Stegostoma tigrinum: one gene and its partners. Each later gene encodes a partner of the first gene's protein in a complex. Links are inferred from orthologs where the notes say so. Each region holds a gene or a part of one and is shown on either strand. Other genes may lie near its edges.

The links.
Region 2: the proteins of grk1a (region 1) and rhodopsin are in contact, whole or in part, in a cryo-EM structure (PDB 7MT8), measured with the Bos taurus proteins. The link is inferred for Stegostoma tigrinum from reciprocal best matches to the Homo sapiens genes GRK1 and RHO. Residues at the interface, in NP_776598.1 of Bos taurus: Leu6, Glu7, Thr8, Val9, Val10, Ser13, Ala14, Ile16, Ala17, Ala18, Arg19, Gly20, Asp23, Ala24, Glu184, Asp185, Trp186, Phe187, Leu188, Asp189, Phe190, Val192, Arg195, Glu200, Gln205, Met206, Lys207, Lys221, Arg222, Thr256; in NP_001014890.1 of Bos taurus: Lys66, Lys67, Arg69, Thr70, Arg135, Val137, Val138, Val139, Lys141, Ser144, Asn145, Phe146, Arg147, Phe148, Glu150, His152, Leu226, Thr229, Val230, Ala233, Gln236, Gln237, Glu239, Thr243, Ala246, Val250, Met257, Ile305, Tyr306, Met309.
Region 3: the proteins of grk1a (region 1) and recoverin-like are in contact, whole or in part, in an NMR structure (PDB 2I94), measured with the Bos taurus proteins. The link is inferred for Stegostoma tigrinum from reciprocal best matches to the Homo sapiens genes GRK1 and RCVRN. Residues at the interface, in NP_776598.1 of Bos taurus: Phe3, Gly4, Leu6, Glu7, Val9, Val10, Ala11, Asn12, Ser13, Ala14, Phe15, Ile16; in NP_776590.1 of Bos taurus: Lys22, Trp31, Ser34, Phe35, Glu38, Cys39, Phe49, Ile52, Tyr53, Lys55, Phe56, Phe57, Tyr86, Leu90, Thr93, Ser94, Phe188, Glu189.

Annotation. Positions count from the first base shown.
Region 1 is NC_081365.1:77,174,731-77,182,248, forward strand, and holds the start of grk1a (rhodopsin kinase GRK1), read right to left. Parts: upstream 3,029-7,518; 5' UTR 2,793-3,028; coding exon 2,088-2,792; intron 1-2,087. UniProt on the Homo sapiens protein: Retina-specific kinase involved in the signal turnoff via phosphorylation of rhodopsin (RHO), the G protein- coupled receptor that initiates the phototransduction cascade.
Region 2 is NC_081364.1:67,532,683-67,540,300, forward strand, and holds the start of rhodopsin, read left to right. Parts: upstream 1-4,582; 5' UTR 4,583-4,737; coding exon 4,738-5,098; intron 5,099-7,618. UniProt on the Homo sapiens protein: Photoreceptor required for image-forming vision at low light intensity. Required for photoreceptor cell viability after birth.
Region 3 is NC_081375.1:46,580,043-46,587,939, forward strand, and holds the start of recoverin-like, read left to right. Parts: upstream 1-4,821; 5' UTR 4,822-4,884; coding exon 4,885-5,265; intron 5,266-7,897. UniProt on the Homo sapiens protein: Acts as a calcium sensor and regulates phototransduction of cone and rod photoreceptor cells. Modulates light sensitivity of cone photoreceptor in dark and dim conditions.

The DNA of each region.
Region 1 (7,518 bases):
GGGCAGACTTCAAACAGATCCAGCAACTCAAGACTGGTCATCCATGAGGTGCTGTGGACCATCAACAGCAGCAGGATTGTACTTCAGCACAATCTGTAATCTCATGGCCTGACATATCCCCCGCTCAACCATTACCATCAAACCAAGGGATCATCCCTGGTTCAATGGAGAGTGTAGAAGGGAATGCCAGGAGCAGCGCCAGGCATACCTGAAGATAAGGTCTCAATGTAGTGATCTACCAAACAGGATGACTTTCATGCCAAACAGCATAAGTGGCTACCATCCCACAACCAGTGGATCAGATCTAAACTCTGCAGTCCTGCCGTATCCAGTCATGAATGGTGTTGGACAGATCAAACAATTCACTGGGGTGGAGGCTTCACAAATATCCCCATCCTCAATGATGGAAAAGCCCAGCACATCAATGCAAAATTTGAGGCTGAAGCATTTGCAATAATCCAGTGCGACTGGATGATCTACTTTCACTTCCTCCAGTGATTCCCAACATCACAGGTACCAGTCCGCAGCCAATTCGATTTACTTCACGAGATATATAAAAAAAGTTGGAGGCACTGGATAGTGCAAAGTTTTTTTTTATTCAGTTGTGGGATGTGAGCATCGCTGGCTGGGCCAGAATTTATTGCCCACCCCTAGTTGCCCTTGAGAAGGTGGTGGTGAACTGCCTTCTTGACCCACTGTAGTCCTCCTGCAGTGGGTTGACCCACAATGCCCTTAAGAGAGGGAATTCCAAGATTTTGACCCAGCGACTATGAGGGAGCAATGACATATTTCCAAGTCAGGATGGTGAGTGGCTTGGAAGGGAATTTGGAGGGAGTGGTGTTCCCATCTGTCTGCTGCCCCTGTCCTTCTAGATGGAAGTGGTTGTGGGTTTGGTAGGTGCTGTCTGAGGATCTTTGGTGAATTTATGGGCCTAACAACTACCTGATTGATGCATCTGCCCACCTACTTTCATTGACTAGTGTACAAAGACATCCAGATCCCTTTGTACATCCACATCTCTCAATATTTTACCATTTAAACAATAATAGACCTGTACACAATACTCCAAATGCGGCCTAACTGAAGTTCTATACAGCTGCTACAAGCATTGCCAATTTTTATACCGTGTGCCCAGAATGATGAAGGCAAACGTGCCTTATACCTTCTTTACCACCAATTCCACTTCTGTTGCCAGTTCCAAGAAACTGTGGACCTGTATACCTAGATCCCTCGTCTGTTGATGAAACTGAAGATTTAGCCATATATTGTCTACTTTCCCCTGATATTAGATCTTCCAAAAGTGCATCACCTCACATTTTTTCAGATTAAATTCCACCTGCCATTTCTCGGCCCAAGTCTCCAGCCTCTCTATATCCTGTTATATCCTCTGACAATCCTCTTCACCATCCACAACTCCCCCAATCGCAAATGTACTAATCGTTATCGTTCTCAATTTTTCACATTCCCAATTGACACGGCGCCTCCATGGAGTGAGTGGGCTCACATCTCCACCCTCCTTTAAGGGAAAAAGAGTCATGCTCCATGTTCTAATCTCCTCTGTCCCCCCCCCCCTCTCCTGCTCTACTAGTGAGGAATGTTTCTCTCTCTCTCTGTTTAACCTTGGGAATGTTTGGTGGATTCCAGTTTCTACTCCCACATTATCCCACGGTTTTAGTATGGTTTTCCTTCTATTGTCTCTGTGATCCCTTTGCTAGCTTGGCGTTGTGTCATTCAAGCAATTATGTCATGTCACCTCCCCCTCCCCCACCCAAAATATCCATGTGTGCCCTTCCATTAATTAATCTTGGAATGATTTGCTTCATTTCAGCCATTGATTGCAACTGATACTTTGTGCGCTGTGTCTGAAATAATGAGTGGGACAGTGGTCTGGCAGTTATTGTTAAACCCCTGGTGCCAGTTAATCTGTTCAGAGGTCAGGTTCATAGGAAGGTTATTGAAATGATCCTTTTCAGCAGCTTACGGTGATGTTTTATCCAATTACTCTAACCCACATCCTACAAAGGATTGGCATTTATTGAATGTCATTTACCACAACAATTCGTCTGCTTCAATCTATTCCACCTTACCTGGTTTCCTTTTCTCTTCTTCAGTCTCTTCTTGTTCAGCTTTTTGCAAGCATACAATTTCCCTGTGGCCTTCATCTGACAAGCAGACACCTCGCCAAACCCTCCCTTCCCCAAGACCCGAAACTCCAGGAACCAGTCCTCCCCAATGGGTTGAGCCTCCAGCCACTTCCACTGCAAGAACCTCATGAAATACATGCTCTCCTTGTAATGCTCGAAGGGACTGTCCTCCTTTAAGAATTTCATGGTGGCCTCTTTGCACTCCCTGAAGAGATCCTCTCTGACATTCTCACAGTCCTCTTTCACTCTCAAGATGCTCTTTTCTTCCAAATAACTGCAGAAGAGCTCAGTCCCCGACTCCAAGAACTTGCTGATAATGTTTCGAGCTTTCTCGAGAAGACCTTCATCTTCTGCTGTGTCGTACACTTCAATAGCCTTCCAGAGTTCATTGGCCGGTTTGTACTCTGCCACTGAGTCTAAGTATTGCTGGAATAGCTTCTTCCCAATGGGCTGCTTGACACAGATGCTATCGAAGGCCAAGTCAATCTGCTCCTTCAGCGTTTCGCTCTGGGTGATGTGAGGGAGCTTCAGCTTGGCTCGATATTTCTTATCCCTGGTCATCTGCAGGTTGGCGGATCCATCGAAACTGCCCCGAGCTGAGATGTACGCGGAGTTGGCCACCACTGTCTGCAGACTCCCCAAATCCATCCTGATGTCTTTGGTTGCTAATTCACTTCAACCAGAGCAAAACCATGTGAGAGATAGAGAGGAGGGGGCGGTGGGGCTCAAAAAATGCACAGCAGGATCCCAACACTCTGGGGCCCTACAACATGCTCAACAACAGAGCAAACAAAAGGAACTGAGGAGAGGGGCTCAGTGTCTGTGCTGCTGACATGACTGACCCAGCCAGGGGTATGAAAGAATGGTGTGTCTTACACTTTCTCCGGTCTCTTTATCTTAATCCCATCCAATGCTTGTCTGTCTTTATTATAGAGGGCAGGTAGCAGCAATCAAAATAATCCTGAGTCAACATCTTAAATAAATATTTGATCCACTTATAAGTAATTCCACGTCAAGTAATTCCTCTCTTCCGCTGAAACGTCTATGTGTTTCTTTTTATATCTATCACTCTCGAATATTATAACTGTGTCACAGTAATTACCAACCACTCTTGACTATCATAACTGTGTCACACTAATTACCTCTCACTGTCTAATATTTTAAGAGTGGCACACTTAATTATCTATTACTTATTAATATTATAACTGTGTCACACTAATTATCCACTACTCTCGAATATTATAACTATGTCACACTAATTATCTATTACTCTTGAATATTATAACTATAACAGTATTTATCTATCACTCTCGAACATTATAACTGTCAGGCTACTATTGTTGTTGTATTAATGTCATGATTGTATCCCTTTCTAATATTAAGAGTCTCTAATATTGAAAGATACCACTCTCAATTGTTATCCCTGTGTCACTCTCCAATGTTACAACTATCATTCTCTAATACTATTACTTTATAACTCTCTAACATTATAAAGGAATTACTCTCTAAAGTTATCTTCGTAGCAATCTCTAATATTCTACTCAGTTTAATCCCACTCTTTCCCACATTCTCGCAATCCTTAATATCCCACCCAGTCTAATCCCACTTTCTCTTCACTCTGTCTCATTATAACTGGCACAGTATTTATCTATTACTCACTAATATTATGACTGTCACCTTATTTATCTTTCACTGTAGAATATTATAACTATAATATATATATAAACTGTCCTATAATAATATTATTATCACACTGATTATCCATCACTCTAACATTATAACAACGACACAAAATTATCTCGCTCTTTCTAATGTTATAATTGAGTCGAGCTAATTATCTATCACCCTCTAACATTACAACTGTCCCTCCCTATTGTAACTGTGTCACACTGATAGTATAGCTGTTGTGCTCTAATATTATATTGTAACTATCACTCTCTAATATTATAACTGTCACTCTCTGAATTAAAACTGTACTACTCTAATGGTATAGCTATTTCTCTCTAATATTGTAACTGTCACTCTGTAATATTGTGCCACATTGATAGTTTAGTGTCTCCCTCCAATATTGTAACTGTTACTCTCTAATACTACATTGCACTGTTGTGTCAGTTTTATATTATAATGGTGTCATTCTCAGTAACAAGTGTTATACTCTAATGTTAGAATTACACCACTCTTAAATGTTATCCCTGAATCACTCCTAAATATTACACCTGTTTTACTCTCTAACATTTTTACTCTAATACTGTTCAGTAGTATAATTGCATCACTATTAAATCACTTTCTAATATTAAGACTGTCTAATATTGAAAGTCACTTGTTATCCCTGTATCACTCTTCAATGTTACAGCTATTATTCTCTAATACTATTGCTGTATAACTCTTTAACATTATAAAGGAATTACTCTCTAAAGTTATCTTTGTAGCATTCTCCATATTCCCATTCATTCCCATACCCCTTAATATCCCACCAAGTCTAATTCCACTTCCTCCTCACTCCTCACACCCTTTAATATCTCACCCAGTCTAATCCTACAATTACACTAATTCAGTGTATTGCCCATTGTTATGAAGTAATATTTCTTTGGATTTGATCCAAGGCACATTTTGCAATGCATTTCTGACTTACTGCAGGCCAGAGCTGAACTGTTTCAACTACGTTGAAGTGAAATGAAATCCTGGGTTCCAGGAAGAAGTGCTGCATATCTTCAATATTTACTTTTATTGTAAAATTTAGAAGGACAGAGTAAGATGAGTAGAGTCTAAAATATAAGAAAGGACTGGTGTGGAAAGATCTAGGCTGGGAAATAGCCTATGTGAGAATGAACTAGTGTGAGAATAAATAAGTGTAGGAATTAGATAACATTTTAATATTCATTCAGGGGATGTACATGGGCCAGCATTTTTTTGCCCATCCCTAACCGCGCTTGAGAAGATAGCACTGATCTGCCGTCTTGAACCAATACAGTCGACATGGCATGGAGACCTCTGCAGTTCCATTTAACAACACTGAAGGAAGGTGATATATTTCCAAGTCAGGATGATGAGAGACATGGAAGGGACCTTACAGGTGTTCCCACCTATTTATTGCCCTACTCTTTCTGGACGGTAGTGGTTATGGGCTTGAAAGGTGCTGCCAGAGGACTCATAGAGTCACAGTATGGAAACAGGCTCTTCGGCCCAACTTACCCATGCTGCCAGTTTTCACAGTTAAACTAGTCCCATTTGTGCAGCTGTTCTCAAATAATGATGCAACATGGGCCACCCTCCAACCTTTGGGCATTTTACCTATGGCTGTCAATGATACAACTATCTCCACTAAGGGCTCTGTAATTTCCTCCCTAGCTTCCCGCAAAGTCCCGGGACACACTTCATCTGGTCCCGGGATCTTATGCACCTTAATGCGTATTAAGACTTCCATCATCTCCTCTTCTGTAATGTGTCTCTTTAAGACATTGCTATTTATTTCTCCAGGTTCTCAGCATCTATGGCCTTCTCCATGGTAAATCCTGACAAGAAATATTCTTTAGGATCTCACCTATCACTTGTGGCTCTGCACATAGATAACACTGTTGCACTTGGAGCATTGTGTACAGTTTTGGTCACTCTGTTATAAGACATAGTTAAACTAGAAAGTGTGGAAGGAAGATTTACTAGGATGTTGCGAGGACTAGTAGATCTGAGTTACAGGGAGAGGCTGGCCAGGACAGGACTTCATTCCTTGGAACAAAGGAGAACGAGGGGTGACCTTATTGAGGTGTATAAAATCATGAGGGGCATAGATAGTTTGAAGGCATGTAGTCTTTTTCCCAGGGAAGGGAATTGAAAATCAGAGGGCTGGGTTTAAGGTGAGGGGATAGATTTAAGAAGGACCAAGGAGCAACTTCTTCACACAGAGAGTGGTGCATATGTGGAATGGGCTGGCAGACAAAGTGGGTGAGGCAGGAACAAAAGCAACATTTAAAAAGCATTTGGATCGATATATGGATCAGGAGCATTTAGAGGGATATGGACCAAATGTGGACAATTGGAACTAGCTGAGTGTGCAGCATGGACCAGTTTGGGCCAAAGGGGCTGTTTCCATGCTGCATTACTCTATGACTCAATTTCCCGCTGCCTACTCTGTGTGTGTGTGTGTGTGTGTGTGTGTGTGTGTGTGTGTGTGTGTCGGGGGGGTGTGGGTGCTATAGTACAATCAGAGTCATCTCCTCCTTTTTACTTCTCAGTTCTACACACACAGACTCAGTGGACAAACACTCAAGAATGTCATCTGTCAGTACAGCCATGATGTTCTCCCTAATCAAAAATGCAATTCTCCCTCCTCTCTTGCCTCCCCTTCTATCCTTCCTATAGCATCTATAACCCAGAACATTGAGATACCAGACCTGTCCCTCCCTGAGCTATGTTTCTGTGATAGCTGTACTATCCCAGTCCCGTGTACCCATCCATGCCCGAGTTTATTTGCCTTACCTGCCAGTCCTCTTGCAATGAAATAAAGGACCCTTGTTGAATTTCTGCAGTGCGTCTTGTAGATAGTACACACTGCTGCTTTCGCCTGGATGATGTCAAGTTTTTTCTTTGAGTTGTACTCATCCAGGTAGGTGGGGAGTATTCCATCCATCACACTTCTGACTTGCGCCTTGTAGATAATGGGCAGGCTTTGGGAAGTCAGGAGATGAGTTACTCTTTACGGTATTCCTAGCCTCTGACCTGCTGTCATAGCCACAGTACAGTTTCTGGTTGATGGTGAGGGATTCAGAGGTAGTAAAAGAATTGAATGTCAAGGGAAGCTGGTAACATTCTCTCTGGTTGGAGCTGGTCATTGCCTGGCTCTTGTGTGGTGCAAGTGCTGTTTATAGTCATCAGCCCAAGATTGAACAATCTTGAGGTCTTTTGGCTTGCGTGCATGAACAGCTTCAGTATCTCAAGCATCGCAAACGGTGCTGAACCTCCCTGCTTCTGACTTTGTGACAGAGGGAAAGTCATTGATAAAGTTACTGCATTTTGTAGAGCCTAAGGAACCTCCTGTAGAGATGAGCTGGAGCTGGCATGTGGGTCAGTGGTTAGCACTGCTGCCTCAAAGCACCAGGAACGCAGGTTCAACCCACCTTTGGGTGACTGTCTGTGTAGAGTTTGCACATTCTCCCCATGTCTGCATGGGTTTCCGCCAGGTGCTCTGGTCTCCTCCCACAGTTTAAGGATGTTTAGGTTAGGTGGATTGGCCATGGGAAATGCAGGGATAAAATAGGGGGCATGTGGGTTGGATGCTCTTTGGAGAGTTGTTGTGGACTTGTTGGGCTGAATGGCCTGTTTCCACACTGTAGGGATTCTTTGAAATGACTGTTTAGCCCAGGGAAATCAATCTTTGTGC
Region 2 (7,618 bases), on another chromosome or scaffold:
TTTTCATGCTGGCACTGTTCCTCGTTGAGATTCATCACCATTTCTCTCACTCATACCATTTCTCACTGAAATTGACACCTATTTCTCACACTCACAATGTTTCTGACTGAGATTGACACCAATTTCTCATACTCATGCTGTTCCACACTGAGATCGACACCCACGAGAATTCCTAGAAGCATGGCATCCCAACTGGAACTCCATCAACAAACACATTGATTTGGAGCCAATCTACCATTCCCTGAGAAAAAGAACAGGAAGTGACATCACCAACGCAGGAAATGACATCACCAACCCAAGGAAACCTAAACAGAGAAATAGAAAGCGGGACATAACACCAGCGCCTCATCGGAGGCTCACTGATGATGTTACCCAGAATGGTGACGAAACGTCTGAAAACGAACCTTCCAGCTCAGCGAGCAAACTCAATCCAGAACCTCAGCCTGAGCTACAAATCTTCTCAAAACTCGATTGATACCTATTTCTTACTCTCGCACTGTTCCTCACTGAGCTCGGTACTTATTTCTCACTTTCACACCATTCCTCACTGAGATCGATACCTATTTCTCACACCCACACTGTTCCTCACTGAAATCAATCCCCAATTCCCACACTCACGCAGTTCCTCAGAAAGATTCATCACTATTCTTTAAAACCTACACTGTTCCTCAGAGAATGACTTCCAATTCCCAACCTCACACAATTTCTCATGGAACATCACTCCAATAGCTCAAATTCACACTGATCCTCATTGCGATTGTAACATGATCAACAATCTGGACTGGATTCCCTGGTTAGGTCTGTGAATCTCGATCCAATCAGGGAACCTTGACAGATATAATAGAGTTGAGTGTCAGGAATATTGACACTGAGGTGCTTGAATTTGAATGGCACTGTACCATAGGCATGGACAGTTCACGTCGACTGATGGAAACCGAAAGAACTAGGGATGCTGTAAATTCGAAGCAAAACAGAAATTAATCAATTCTGAGGAAGGGTCACTTGACCTAAAATGTTAACTCTGATTTCTCCCCACAGACACTGCCAGAGCTCATAGGGAGTCATGACAGTTTCTCACAGAGATTCACTCCCATTGCTCATATTCACACTGTTCCTCACAGAGATTCACTCTCATTCCTCAAACCACACTGTTGCTCTCAGAGATGTCCCTCTGGATCTGATAGATATTTACCTAACAATGGGAATCACTCCCACTTACTTCAAATAATCAGCAACTGGTAGCTCTCAAAGATTTAACAAAGTGTGGAGCTGGATGAACACAGCAGGCCAAGCAGCATCTTAGGAGCACAAAAGCTGACATTTCAGGCCTAGACCCATCATCAGAGAGCTCTCTGATTTTGTGGTCCTGAGATGCTGCTTGGCCTGCTGTGTTCATCCAGCCCCACACTTTTTTATCTTGGATTCTCCAGCATCTGCAGTTCCCATTATCTCTGTTCTCAAAGATTTGTCTTGATAATTATGGGCTCTATTTACATCAATAGGACAGTGACACCATTATTACAATCAGCTCTGCTAAAATTCAGCAGAGGACAAAGGGTTTAATTTGGAAGAGGAAAATAGAATAAAGACAGTAAGCTTGCAAAGAATATTAAAAAATTTACTGCAAAAGCTTCTATTGATTAGTGAAAAAAAAACTGGTGAAGACAAACGTAGATCTCTGACAGAGATAATAGAAACTGCAGATGCTGGAGAATATGAGAATACAAGGTGTGGAGCTGGACGAACACAGCAGGCCAAGCAGCATCAGAGGAGCAGGAAGGCTTGGCTTTTCGGGTTGGGACCTTTCTTCTGAAATACTTTGGATCTGTCTTCACTAATGAGGACACAAATAACCTTCAGGAAAAGCTAGAGGGCAGAGGGTCAAGCATGAAGGAACTGAAGGACATTTTCTTTAGTCAGGAAATGGTATTGGGGAAAATGATGGGATTAAAACCCAATAACTCCCCAGGGAGGCCTGCAGCTCTGTATCCCAGAGCATGTAAGGAAGTAGCCCTAGAAATATTGGTAATTATTTTCCAACATTCTATTGACTCTGGAAGAGTTCCAATGGACTGGAGAGTAGCTAATGTGACACACTTTTTAAAAAAGGAGGGAGAGGAAGTAGGGAATTATAGGCCAGTTATCCTGACATCAGTGATGGGGAAATTGCTGAAGTCAATTATTAAGTATTAATTTAGCATTTGGAAAGTGGTGGCAGGATTGGTCCAAGGATTTGCTAAAGGGAATCTCCAGTCCATTGGAACTCTTTCAGAGTCTACAGAATGCTGGAAATCATGCTTGAAAAATCTTCTGGAAGACTTTGAGGATGTGACCAGTAGAGTGGACAAGAATGAATCAGTGGATGTTGTATATCTAGACTTTCAAAAGGCTTTTGACAAGGTTCAATGCAAGAGATTAGTAAGGAAAACTAAAGCTCAAGGTATCAGAGGTAGTGTATTGAAGTGGATAGAGAACTGGCTGGCAGGAAGCAGAGAGTTAGAATAAATGGGCCCTTTTCAGAGTGATCGGCAGTGATGAACGGGTGCTGCAGAGTTCTGTGCTGGGTCCTCAGCTGTTCATAATATATGTTCCTGATTTGGACAAAGGAATTGAATGCTATATCTCCAACTTTTCAGATGATACTAAGCTGGGTGTCCGTGTCTGCTGTGAGGAGGGTGCTAGGAGGCTGCAAGGTGACTTGGGCAGACAAACTGAGTGGCAAATGCCATATAATGGGGATAAATGTGAGGTTATCCACTTTGGTCACAAAAACAGGAAGGCAGATTATTATCTGAATGGTGGCAGTTCAGGAAAAGGTGAGGTGCAATGAGACCAGGGTGTCATGGAGGAACAGTCACTGAAGGTTGGTGTATTGGTGCAGCAGGCAATGAGAAAAGCTAATAGCAGCTGGCCCTCAGACCAAGAGGATTTGAGTTCGGAGTAAGGATGTTTTACTGCAGTTATACTGGGCCTTGGTGAGGGCACACCTTGAGTACCATGTGCAGTTTTAGTCTGTTAGTCTGAGGAAGTACATTCTTGCTATTTAGGGAATCCTGCGAAGATTCGTCAGACTGGTTTCAGGATGGCAGGGCTGATATATGAGGAAAGACTGGATCAACTGGACTTGTTATTTCTGGAATTTAGAAGAATGGGATTTGGGGGTGTGGTTTTTAGAAACATCAAATCCTGATGAGAATGGACAAGCTAGATATGGGAGGAATGTTCCTGATGTTGGGGAAGTCCAGAACTAGGTGTCACAATGTACGAATAAGGTGTAAGCCATTCAGGACTGAGATGAGGAAGAATTTCTTCACTCAGAGTTGTGAACCTGTGGAATTCTCTCCCACAGGAAGCTGTTGGGGCCAGTTCATTAGATATATTCAGAAGGGAGCTGGATGTGACCCTTGCGGCTAAGTGGATCAAGGGGTATGGAGAGAAAGTAAGAGTGGAATACTGAGAGTGCATAATCAGCTATGATCATATTGAATGGTGGTGTAAATTCAAGGGGACCACGTGGCCTATTCCTGCACCTAGTTTCTAAGTTTCAATGTTTCTGTGTAAAATGCAAGCACAGTCTCTTCATACAGGTTATAGTACTCGCTATTATATGTGTTCTAGCCTGTAAAATAACACAAATCCAGATTCTGATATTCCAACAGTTCCATTCAACACAATAGACACCAGCACAATACCCTTACATTCACCAAAAGAACTGCGGATGCTGTAAAACAGACACAAAAACAAAGTTGCTGGAAAAGCTCAGCAGGTCTGTCAGCATCTGTAAAGAGGACTCAAAGTTAATGTTTTGGACCTGGTAACCCTTCCCCAGAATTGATGGGAGCTAGGAAAATGTTGGTTTGCATGCAGAAGTCAGGGTGGGGGTAGGGGGTAAGGAGTAAAAAATAGGCAGAAGAAAGAGCTCAAAGAGAGAGAAGAACAGTTGGACAAAGCAGTTGAAAATGATCTGGCTAGTGGGGTGAATAGCTGTTAAGAGAGGCTGCTAGTGGCTAACAACAGGTAGTGTGCAATGGCAAGCTATGTGATAATAAGACCTGGGTATGTGGGGTAGGGCCTAGGACGTGGGAGAATATAGGCTCTAAAATTATTTAGCTCGATATTGAGTCCGGACGGCTGCAGGGTCCTCAAGCAGTAAACCAGTTGTTGTTTTTCCAGCTTGTGTTGAGCTTCACTGGAACACTGCAGTAAGCCAGAGACAGAGATATTGGCCAGGGAACAGGGTGATGTGTTAAAGGAGCAGGGAACTGCCAGCATACACATGAAGCTCATCTCCATGTGTATGCTGGCCCTCCCAGATGGAATGACGTGAAGATACAGGCATAATTAGCAAATTTGCTCACCGACACAGACCTGTATCAACTTTGTGTTTTTATTTCTTCCATGTTTGACAACTTCTGAGCAGGCTGTCAGGGCAAAGGCCTCACTGCCCAGTGCAGCAGTGTGAGTGTTAATGGCTCAATGATACCGTCTCAGCTCCTGCCTGGATTATTATTCTTTTGCCGTGGCTTAAATTGCTTTCTGCTGACAGGCAGGGTCAGAGTAATCCAAGGCTTTATAAGGGGGCTCAGAGACCTGGAGTGGGGGGGGTTTGATTGTGGCCTGTCATTGCTCAAGTCAGTCAGTTCCTGTGCTGGTTCGGGTCAGGTTCAGAGAGGATCACCATCGAGGGAAAGTAAGGAGAAAGTTTGCTTCGACTGAGCTGCACAACAAGCTGCAACCATGAATGGCACCGAAGGAGAGAACTTCTATATACCCATGTCCAACAAGACAGGTGTGGTTAGGAGCCCATTCGAATACCCGCAGTACTACCTGGCTGAGCCTTGGAAATTCTCCGTGCTGGCAGCCTACATGTTCTTCCTGATTATAACAGGGTTCCCCATCAATTTCCTCACCCTGTACGTCACCATCCAGCACAAGAAACTTCGGCAGCCTCTTAACTACATCCTCCTCAACCTGGCTGTTTCTGATCTCTTCATGGTCTTTGGTGGATTCACTACCACCACCATCACCTCAATGAATGGCTATTTCATCTTTGGACCAACTGGTTGTAACTTTGAAGGCTTCTTCGCCACACTTGGAGGTAAGATCCCGATGTGTTTTCATCCACTGGTTCATTGCTTGGTCCAATTTCAGGGATCAGGAGACATGAGTTCATTGCCAGTTCAAGCCCTTGTTTGCTCAGAAGCTGTATGTGGGGAAAATTCAATGGGATATTCCGCAGATAGATATTAATGAGGCTTTAAGTTAATTTATCTACAGCGGATGCGATAAAGTGTAAGAATTACATGTGTGACTTGATAAACCGCTTGCATTGCTTAGTGCAAACTTTGCTCAACGAGCAAAGTTAAAAGTTTGGAGCAAGAATATCGGGTTATAGATGTTATAATCAGATAAGCTAAGATACATTTCCTAGCTGTCTGGATGGGACTTCCGGAGAGTTCCAGAATTGTAATGCTGCAGAAGGATGCAGTCCAGACTATCCTGTTTGCAATGGTTCTATTAGCTCATGCCAGTCTCCTGTCTTATCCCCCTATCCCAGCCCCCCATTTCTAACAATTGCTGTCTTGAATGCCTCAGTAGAACCTGCCTCTACCATATTTCTAGGCAGTGCATTCCAGACCCTAACTAGTCACAATGTGGAAAAGATTTTTCTCACTTCCTCCTTGCTTTGCCCGTAGTGTTCAGTGGCGTGTGGGTTATAGGGGGATGGGTCAGGGTGGGTTGCTCCAAGGGGAGGTGTGGACTTGTTGGGCCGCAGGGCCTGTTTCCACACTGTAGGGAATCTAATCTAATCTAATCTAATCACTTTAAACCTATGCCCTGTCATTGTTCTTCCTTTTAAGAGTGTTTTGAACCCAGCCCTTCTGGTCCAGAGGCGCTGAAACTACTACCGTGCTGCAGGTCACTTAAAATGAGTCCCGTTAACATTTAGCAGCAAATGGGAGCAAGTCAGATTGCCTTCATACAGGGACAGTGAATTCTAGTGACGTTTGACAGAATATGATAACCCCTACACTAAAGGGACAAAATGATGCATCATGTTGTGCCATGTCTGATCCTGACTGCCTATTAAGGCCAAAGTCCCTGGGTATCAACAAGGGTAAAACGATAGAAGTTGGCTCAAGTTTCAATCCTCTAATCCTGGCAAAGAGAAAACTCAGTATAGTCTTCACATGGAAAAGGGAATAGTGAAGGGATCATTGGAACACGGTTTAAGCTGAGGGAATCTAGACAGGGTAAATGTGGAGGAATGATAATCCCAGAGTGGGGAGTCCAGTAAGGGGGGTCAGAGTTTAAGAATAGAGGGTAGGACATTTGGGAATAAGATGAGGAGAAATTTCTTCACCCAGACGGTGTAATTCTCTGCCACAGAAAGTAGTTGAAGTCACAACATTAATTTTTTTCAAGACGGAGTTAGAAATATTTCCTGGGGCTAAAGGAGTAATGCTGCAGAAGGAGGTGAGAAAGCAGGGAACAAGGGACCGAATGATTAAGTGTGATCATATTGAGCAGTCTCAAAGGGCAGATGACCTACTCCTGTTCATTTTCTCCATGTTCTATGTCCTCCTCTGCCTTTAATACTCTGACATGGCATTGGCTGTCCAGTAGAAAAAAACATTTAACGCAAAAATCTAGAGTGAAGAGAAATGGAGAGTTTGGAAACCAATAAAAGGAGGATAAGAAACAATGTTCTCACAGCAACCAAAGGATAGAAGAAATGGGGGTCACCATCAGAAGCAGAATATCAAGAACAGCAGTTGTGCAAACTAACTCTCAGGAGCAGAAATGGGTAACATGAAAACATCTGTTTGCTGAGCGATTCCAGCGATATTTGAGAACGGAAAATGACAAGACAACCAGAAAAACAATGTTAAAAGCTTGGAGAGAGAACAATGTGTGAATGAATATGAGCTTATCCCATTTCCATCCTGAAGATGAGTATATTTGCCTCAAAAGGATCAAGGAGAATCTTACAAATTTAAAACAGTTACACTGGAAATGCTTGGGTAACTGATGAACAAGAAAAGGAACAAGCATGGACAGGATATTTTGAAAGTGTCACTTTGGCTATGAAGATTTTCACTCATTTCTCCTAATGTGGATCATGTAATTTTGGAGACCTTGGGGAAGTTCCTGTGACAGTAAACGTGGTTCAACTAAATGATTGCAAAATTGGACAGGCTTTAAACAAGGGGTGAAATAAATCATGAAAACATTTAAAGGAACCTGGAAAAACTCCTGCTGAGCAGCAAATTCCAATTAGCATTCTGTGTACATGGTGGGACATGTAAGTAGTGCAAATTGTGATTCAGCGATAAGGCAGGGAGTAAATAATAGTGTAAATCATGCTTGGTGTAAGAAGGTGAATGTGAAGCCTAGTGTAAGTGGGAAACAATGTTAATTAGATGTGGCATTGATTGAAGTGGGTACAGAGTAAATAACTTGCAAATTAAATTTGCTCAAAATGTAATTTCATACAGTCCAAATCACCTTCAGGGGATGTAAAATATGGTGGGAATTGAATTTGATGACCATCAAATTTGATGTAAACTTCATGTGGTGTAAAGAGTTTGCTTTGATTTATCATTGTTACATATGC
Region 3 (7,897 bases), on another chromosome or scaffold:
CCATCAATTTCTAATTTTAATGCTTGTAATGTTGCTGCCTGTCTGTTAGTTTACACTAAATACCCTCTGAGTAAAGGAGCTATTACTAATGTTTGTTCTGAATTTACTTTTGTATTTGCATTCTGTGTTTCTACTGACACGATCCACTTGAAAATGATATTCTGACATTACATCATCTATCTATTTGATTTTGTGTTTTATATACACAAAAGAGACCAAACTAAGGATCAAACTGAAGGTGCATGATTTCCCCATTGACTTTAGGCTCAAATGGGGGTCAAGAGGTCAAAGTCTGTGAGGAATAGTCACTTGCCTCTGATTTTCCCTAAATTGCTCAAGTTATGACAAGTCAGCAGCCTTGCTGCCCAATAGGATAATGAGCAGGCTCTTGAAACTGGATGGCCAATAGGTTCTCATTTAGCTCAGAAGGAAGAGGGGTGAGTCTTTCAAGGAAGTGAGAAAGAGGGTACTGGAAGATGGAAGCCCCATCTCAAACTTTTCAAAAGTTCTATTTTTAAAAAATCTGATTAACTGGGCCACCATCGTGAAGTGTTTTCAGCAATACAGGGAGCTGTGCCTGGAGTCAGGTGGATGTGGAGGGCCTTTAAAACTGCCTGGAGCAGAAGGTGACTTGCACCATAGTTCCCCCAGACCTTTAGGGACATTAGATGACACAGAGTTTCCAGTTGACCCTCAACAATTTGCATTATTTTATCTTTCACAAGGTCCAGTAGCTGCCTACTGCTTGCAGTTGGGTAACCCTTCCAACCCCTACATCCTGCCACCCAGAAAACAGGGAGTTGGCACCCCAGCTGGCAGGAGGGAAGTCTGTACCCACTCCCAATAAAGACTCACCCCTACAGTTCTGTGGGAGGGTCAGCAGACCCAAAACTTTAACTCTGCTTTTTTCACAGACGCTGCCAGACCTACTGAGCTTTTCTGGCAACTTCTGTTTTTGTTCCTGATAAACAGCACCTGCAGTTCTTTTGGTTTTTTGTTTGAAGACTCACGCCTAAACTGGAAACCAGTCAGTGTCATAGAAGTTTTATAGTTTTGAGTGTGTAGGTTATCTGTCCAAAAAAGACATTTCATGTGATTTTTTTTTGAAAGAAGATGCATTTCTTTGTTGCAATTGACATTTCTAGTGCCAAGCTGCATAACGATGGTTTTTGCTACAGACTGCACTGATTAACGTTTTTTGCCAAATGACTTCACAGGTAAAGTCAGACTGCTGCAAAATTTGATTTAATATTTAAGGATTATTTATTTCCTTTGTATCCATTTTTGGGTTATCATTTAGTAGACACATATAGTCTTGTTTCAACAAAAATAACAGTGGAATGTGTGACAAAAATAGTGTGGAAATAGAAGCCGGTAATTTAACGCTAGATTCTTGTCTAACTGAAATACTACTGCTTCTAAATATCTGAGCGAATTTGCTTCGATTGACTTGCTATACAAGTAAACATTACATTGCATCAGGTTGAAATGGAATTCTTCATATCCAAACAAGCAAATCCAGATCATGTGCAATGAGAAGTTTAATGAAGGTGCAGGAAGATCTTCCAGCACCTCTTAATTTCCTGCATCCATAGTTCTTTGGTTTTATTTAGTTTGGTACCTCCTGCCTGCTCTGTAATTTCTGTCACTGAGTTTCTCAATTTGGATTTTACCAGAGCCACTCAGCTATAGACTGCATTATATTCAATTTTGGCCCAAACATGGGTATAAAAGCTGAATTTCAGTAGCAAGGTAAGAGTGGTTGACCTTATCATCATGGCTGTTTTTGAAACTCTCTGCTGTTCATAGTCATTATTAGCACAAAGGAAGTTGAGTTTGCTTGTTGGAAGATAACTATGTCAGCCATAAGACTTTTCCTCGAGGCGTTTCCGTGAAATATTATTCTGAGATGTTTTATCAATGATTTTCCCTTTAGCGTTAGTGCAGAAATGTGGATGCTCACTTATTTATTGCAGTGTTGTTCACAACTTCTCATGTACTGAAGCAATTCATTCCCACATACAGTAACCTGGACAATATCTGGGCTTGAACGAGTCATAAGGGTACAAGACAGTGAGATGCATGTGCAGAAGTAGGCCATTCATCCCACTGAGTCTGCTTCACCATTCAAAGAACAAATAAAAAGGACATGTGTAATATTGAGATAACAAGATGTAGAGCTAGATGAACACAGCAAGCCAAGCAGCATCAGAGGAGCGGGAAGGCTGATGTTTCGGGCCTAGACCCTTCTTCATAAATTGGGAGGCAAAGTGTGTTCTGAAATAAATACGGAGAGAGGGGGAGGTGGATAGTAGATAGATAGAGGAGAAGGTAGATGGAGAGGAAACAGACAGGTCAAAGAGGCGGGGATGAAGCCAGTAAAGGTGAGTGTAGGTGGGGAGGTAGGAAGGAGATAGGTCAGTCCAGGGAGGACGGACAGGTCAAGGGAGTGGGATGAGTTTAGTAGGTTGGAGATGGGGGTGGGGCTTGAGGTGGGAGGAGGGGATAAGTGGGAGGAAGGACAGGTTAGGGAGGCAGGGACGAGCTGGGCTGGTTTTGGGATGCAGTAGGGGGAGGGGAGATTTTGAAGCTTGTGAAGTCCACATTGATACCATTGGCCTGCAGGATTCCCAAGCAGAATATGAATTGCTGTTCCTGCAACCTTCGGGTAGCATCATTGTGGCACTGCAGGAGGCCCAGGATGGGCATGTCGTTTGAGGAATGGGAGGGGGAGTTGAAATGATTCGTGACCGGGAGGTGCAGTTTTTTATTGCAAACCGAGCATAGGTGTTCTGCAAAACGGTCCCCAAGCCTCCGCTTGGCTTTCCCGATGTAGAGGAGGCCACAACGCAGTATACCACATTAGCAGATATGGGGCCTGGGATAGGGTGAGGCGGGGGAGGTGTGATGGCAGGTGTAGCACTTCCTGTGGTTGCAGGGAAAAGTGCTGGATGTGGTGGTGCTGGAGGGGAGTGTGGAGTGGACAAGGAAGTCATGGATAGAGTGGTCCCTTCGGAAAGCAGATAAGGGTGGGGAGGGAAAAATGTCTTGGGTGGTGGGGTGGGATTGCAGATGAGAATGTCGGAGGATGATGTGTTGGATCCGGAGGTTGGTGGGGTGGTACATGAGGATGAGGGGGATTCTGCTTTGGTTGTTATTGCAGGGAGGGGGTGTGAGGGATGAGTTGCGGGAAATGCGGGAGACATGGTCGAGGGCATCCTCGACCACTGTGGGGGGAGGTCGTGGTCCTTGAAAAACGAGGACATTTGAGATGTACAGGAGTGGATAGTCTCATCCTGGGACCAGATGCGGTGGAGGCAAAGGAATTGGGAATAGGGGATGGCATTTTTGCAGGAAGGTGGGTGGGGGGAGGTGTATTCTAGGTAGTTGTGGGAGTCGGTGGGCTTAAAATGGATATTGGTTTCTAGGTGGTTGCCAGAGATGGAGAAATAGAGGTCCAGGAAGGATAGAGAGGTGTTAGAAATGGTCCAGGTGAACTTAAGGTTGGGGTGGAAGGTGTTGGTGAAGTGGATGAACTGTTCGAGTCCTCGGGGGAAGACGAGGCGGCACCGATATAGTCATCAATGTAACGGAGGAAGAGGTGGGGTTTAGGGCCAGTATAGCTACAGAAGAGGGACTGTTCCACGTAACCTACAAAGAGGCAGGCATAGCTTGGACCCATGCGGGTACCTATGGCACCCCCTTTGTCTGTAGGAAGTGGGAGGAATTGAAGGAGAAGTTGAGGGTGAGGACGAGTTCGGCTAGGTGGATGAGGGTGTTGGTGGAGGGGGATTGGTTGGGCCTGTGGGACAGGAAGAAGTGGAGGGCCTTTAGGCCATCTGCATGGGGAATACAGGTGTATAGGGACTGGACGTCCTTGGGAAAGATGAGGTGTTGGGGACCAGGGAATTGGAAGTTCTGGAGGAGGTAAAGGGCATGGGTGGTGTAGGTAAGGATTTCCTGAACTAAGGGGGAGAAAATAGAGTCGAGATAGGTGGAGATAAGTTTGTTGGGCAGGAGCAGGCGGAGTCGACCAGTTTGTGGATTTTGGGTAGGATTGTCACGTCCCAGTTCCCCTTTAAATCACATACCAATCTGTCTTGGATTTCTACGACTGTTTTCAGCATTGCGACTGAGTCAAAATCCATTATGGGATTAACAGGACCACCACAAGAAATAGAGTGGTTCCACGTGAACACTTACACTTTTCTCAGGGCAACTATATTTTCTGTGAATCTTATGTAATCCTGTGCAAGCTTATAAGGGAGAAGTGAATACAGGGTTACGTGATATAACTAAATGAGTAAAGATAGGAGAAAGCTTAAGTGGAGCAGCAACCTGTTGTGTTGCTTGGCCTGTTTCTGCTTGAGATAAAGGATGAACCACGATCTTGTCGAGTGGCTGTGTGGTTTTGATTGTCTGAACAGCCGACTTCTGCTCCTATTTCCTATACTTCCATACGTAACTTAACAACAAATTTCAACTTAGCAGTTTATCCACACCCTGACAACAAAGTTAAAAATAACCAACAATTCCATTCTCTGTGAATACAAATAATCAATGGATTAGTAAATTAACAACATGTGTTACTGCAAAGTAACATTGTACAGAAAATGAACTGTCTGCAAGCACAGATGTTGATTATAATTTTAAGGTATTTTAGGTTTTGTGTCAGTTATTTCCATTAGCTATTTAGCTTGCAATGTATGTAAAAATTTTGCTGCCTTTGTGAATGTCAGGCAAGGAGATAAAGACTAATCCTTTTAATCCATAAAGCTTAATCTGTTCTCATAAATATAGTTCTGCAATCAGTCTGTACGGTCTTTAGTGAGTCAGAAGAGGTCTTGTGTAGTCCTTTGCATCTTCTAGGCTGTGTGAGTAGGAATGGGAAACTCTAAAAGTAGTGCCCTGTCCAAGAGTATCTTGGAAGACCTCAAAATGAACACCAAGTACACAGAAGAGGAGCTCTCCTTATGGTACAAGACATTCTTGAAGGAGTGCCCAACTGGCTTGATCACCATGGCACAATTTGAGAAGATCTATTCTGGCTTCTTCCCAGATGCAAACCCCAAAGATTATGCTCACCATGTCTTCAGGAGCTTTGACACCAACAGTGATGGGACACTGGATTTTAAGGAATACATCATTGCCCTTCACCTCACCTCCTCTGGAAAGATGTCACAGAAGCTTGAGTGGGCTTTTTCTCTCTATGATGTGGATGGCAACGGCACAATCAACAAGGAAGAAGTACTGGAAATTGTTAAGGTATGGCTAAACTTTAAATCGATGCCCAAAACTGCACCATGTCAGTTTAGTAAATTGGTGAATAACTCACATCCCATCTTGGTGTTATTTTCTTCTCTCTATTTCCCTTAATGCTTACCATTCAGCTACAGAGCATATTTTGAGTGCAACCTTTCCAATCAAGGCCTCTCCTGCAGGCGGTGACCATTATCTGCAGAAATAGCCGGAGATGAGTGAGCTGATATTATTTCTTTTCTCCTTCCCATCTTTCTCAAGACAATCATGGGGTTACCATATAAAAATGAACACATCGCACATTCTACCATTATACAACTTAACTCAGCAATAACTTCAAGTTATGCATTCACTGCAAAACAAAATCTTGAAATTGTTTTTATTTCTAATGCATTGAAGCATAATCCCAAGGCATCCTTAGGCACTTTGCTTTTAAAGCATAGCCATGTCTATACAACTGGACTGAACACAAAATATACTGGCTGCAAAGTTTGAGAAAACCAGCCAATGAACGTAAATTAGATCATGTGTTTTTCATGGTGTTGATCATAGAAGGAATATTAACTCGATTACTGGAAAAATCCTCTGGTCTGATTTGAATAGCATCAAGGGAATGAATACATTAAGTTTGTAGCAAATTAATTAAATGTAGAGCACAACACACCAATAGCACGATCTATAAAGATAACATTCATCATAAGTAAAAGTATCTATTAACATTTCAGTTGGGATATGTATTACAACAGCAAAGGACTTATTAGATAGGAGACTGATCAAATTGCCAGTAGCAGTCCATGTGGATATAGTGGAAATATGGAAGAGTTTTTGATGGTTTAGTCACTGTTGCATTATGTTACATTAATAGTTGTGATGACTTCGGAATGTGACTGGAATTTGTAAATATATTAAAGCTCAACTTAATGAGCAGTATCTGCTTCATTGCACTCTGTGTTGGAATACGACTGAACAAAAATACAATGGAATGGCAATTGGGATGTGATGTTTGACCTTTCAAATCTTTTAACAATGTTCATGTTTCATATCGTTGTCCTTCAGAAGCACTTCATGGTGCATTCAGATGTCTCAAGATCATGAAGGGCTGTACTTAAAAGCAGGAGGGGTAACATTTGACCTGGAAACAAATGTAGGGATCATGACATGCATATTCTTTTGAATGCAGGCGGTTTGTGATTTTCAAACAACCTGCTGACTTCCATGATATTTGAGTGCAGTGCTCTTGGTAGCTGTATAGGCTAGCACCACTTAAAGCTGGTATCCACAACTTAAAGACAAACTGCACTTTGTAGGGAAGATACGTTCTGGCTAGAACAGCTGATGGAATTAACTGGTGGTTTTGCGGAGGAGGAACACTGACTAATCAAGAGTTTCAGGTCCAGCACTGGAGATGCTAATGCCAAAGGTGGAGAAGAGGGGAGACGGCTTCCATCCAGGTGGGCTTTGGAGACCCCTCTATATTAAGGCTGAGAAGGCTATGGGAGCAGGTAGGTTTCATAGTCAACATATCTATTGTTGCTGGAAGGACCTGGATGCAGTGCTGTGAGCTCAATGTCCTCAAATAAGTGCTCAAATTCAGAGAAAATATCTTCAAATTTCATATTCTCACAACTGAATTTTATGACTAACCTCAGACACTGCTCTGTTCACCAACCCCCTTCACTCGCCTATCAATAATCACTATCAGTCATTACCCATGCTTCACATTTGCCACCACACCGATCTCACACTTAGTCATGCATCTCATGATTCGCAAAACTGCCAGCTCTTGAACCGTGGCAGATAAATCACATAAGCACATTGCGATGGGCTCACAGGCACAGCTCCAACTCTCTCAATGAGCAAGTTGGGGCTGTAACTGGGAGCACAGCTTTTGAGAAGCAGGGGACAGGACTGGCTGTACGTATTTATTTGCACAGAGATGGACTTACACTGAATCCTCTTTCACAGCTTCCTCTCACCTCCCAATCTCCCCTGATTTAAAAAGCTGCACGGGGTCTAATCACACACTTCTCGCTGCCCCTTTCCCTCTCCGCTGACCCTCAACACAACACAAGCCTTGTGTCTTTCTCTTGTCCGATCCTCAGGGACTTAACAGTGATGGAAGACTGAGTGGAGAAAGGTAAGGAGGACAATGATGAAGAGGGAACACAAGTATTCACAGCCACTAGCTCAGACAGTGACACTGCACAAAGCTCGGGAATGGAACTTGCACAAGTATCCTGGAGCTGGATCAGAGGACAAGGATAGCAACAATTGCAAATCACCAGAGGATGAGGGTACCCCTGGGTCCTGATGCAAAGAAGTCAGATGATGATTTTGAAGAATCAGACTACCAAGGACAATGGTTGAGCACATGCAATGAAAAGGGTAATGTATTCAGGAACTCACCAGAAAGCCTGTGGTCAATGGTACACAGCATGGAGAGGATCACTGTTGACTCTGCCCGCTCGATGATCTATTCGCAGGATACATACCGAGACAAATATCGACTGTACTTGGAGGAGCATCAACTCGGTGAAAGGTGCTCTTTGGTCTGCCTGAAACTTGTTGGTACTCCAGAACAAGGAGTTGACCCTGACCGAATATTGCAGACTGCACATTCCAAGATCTAGGACTACGT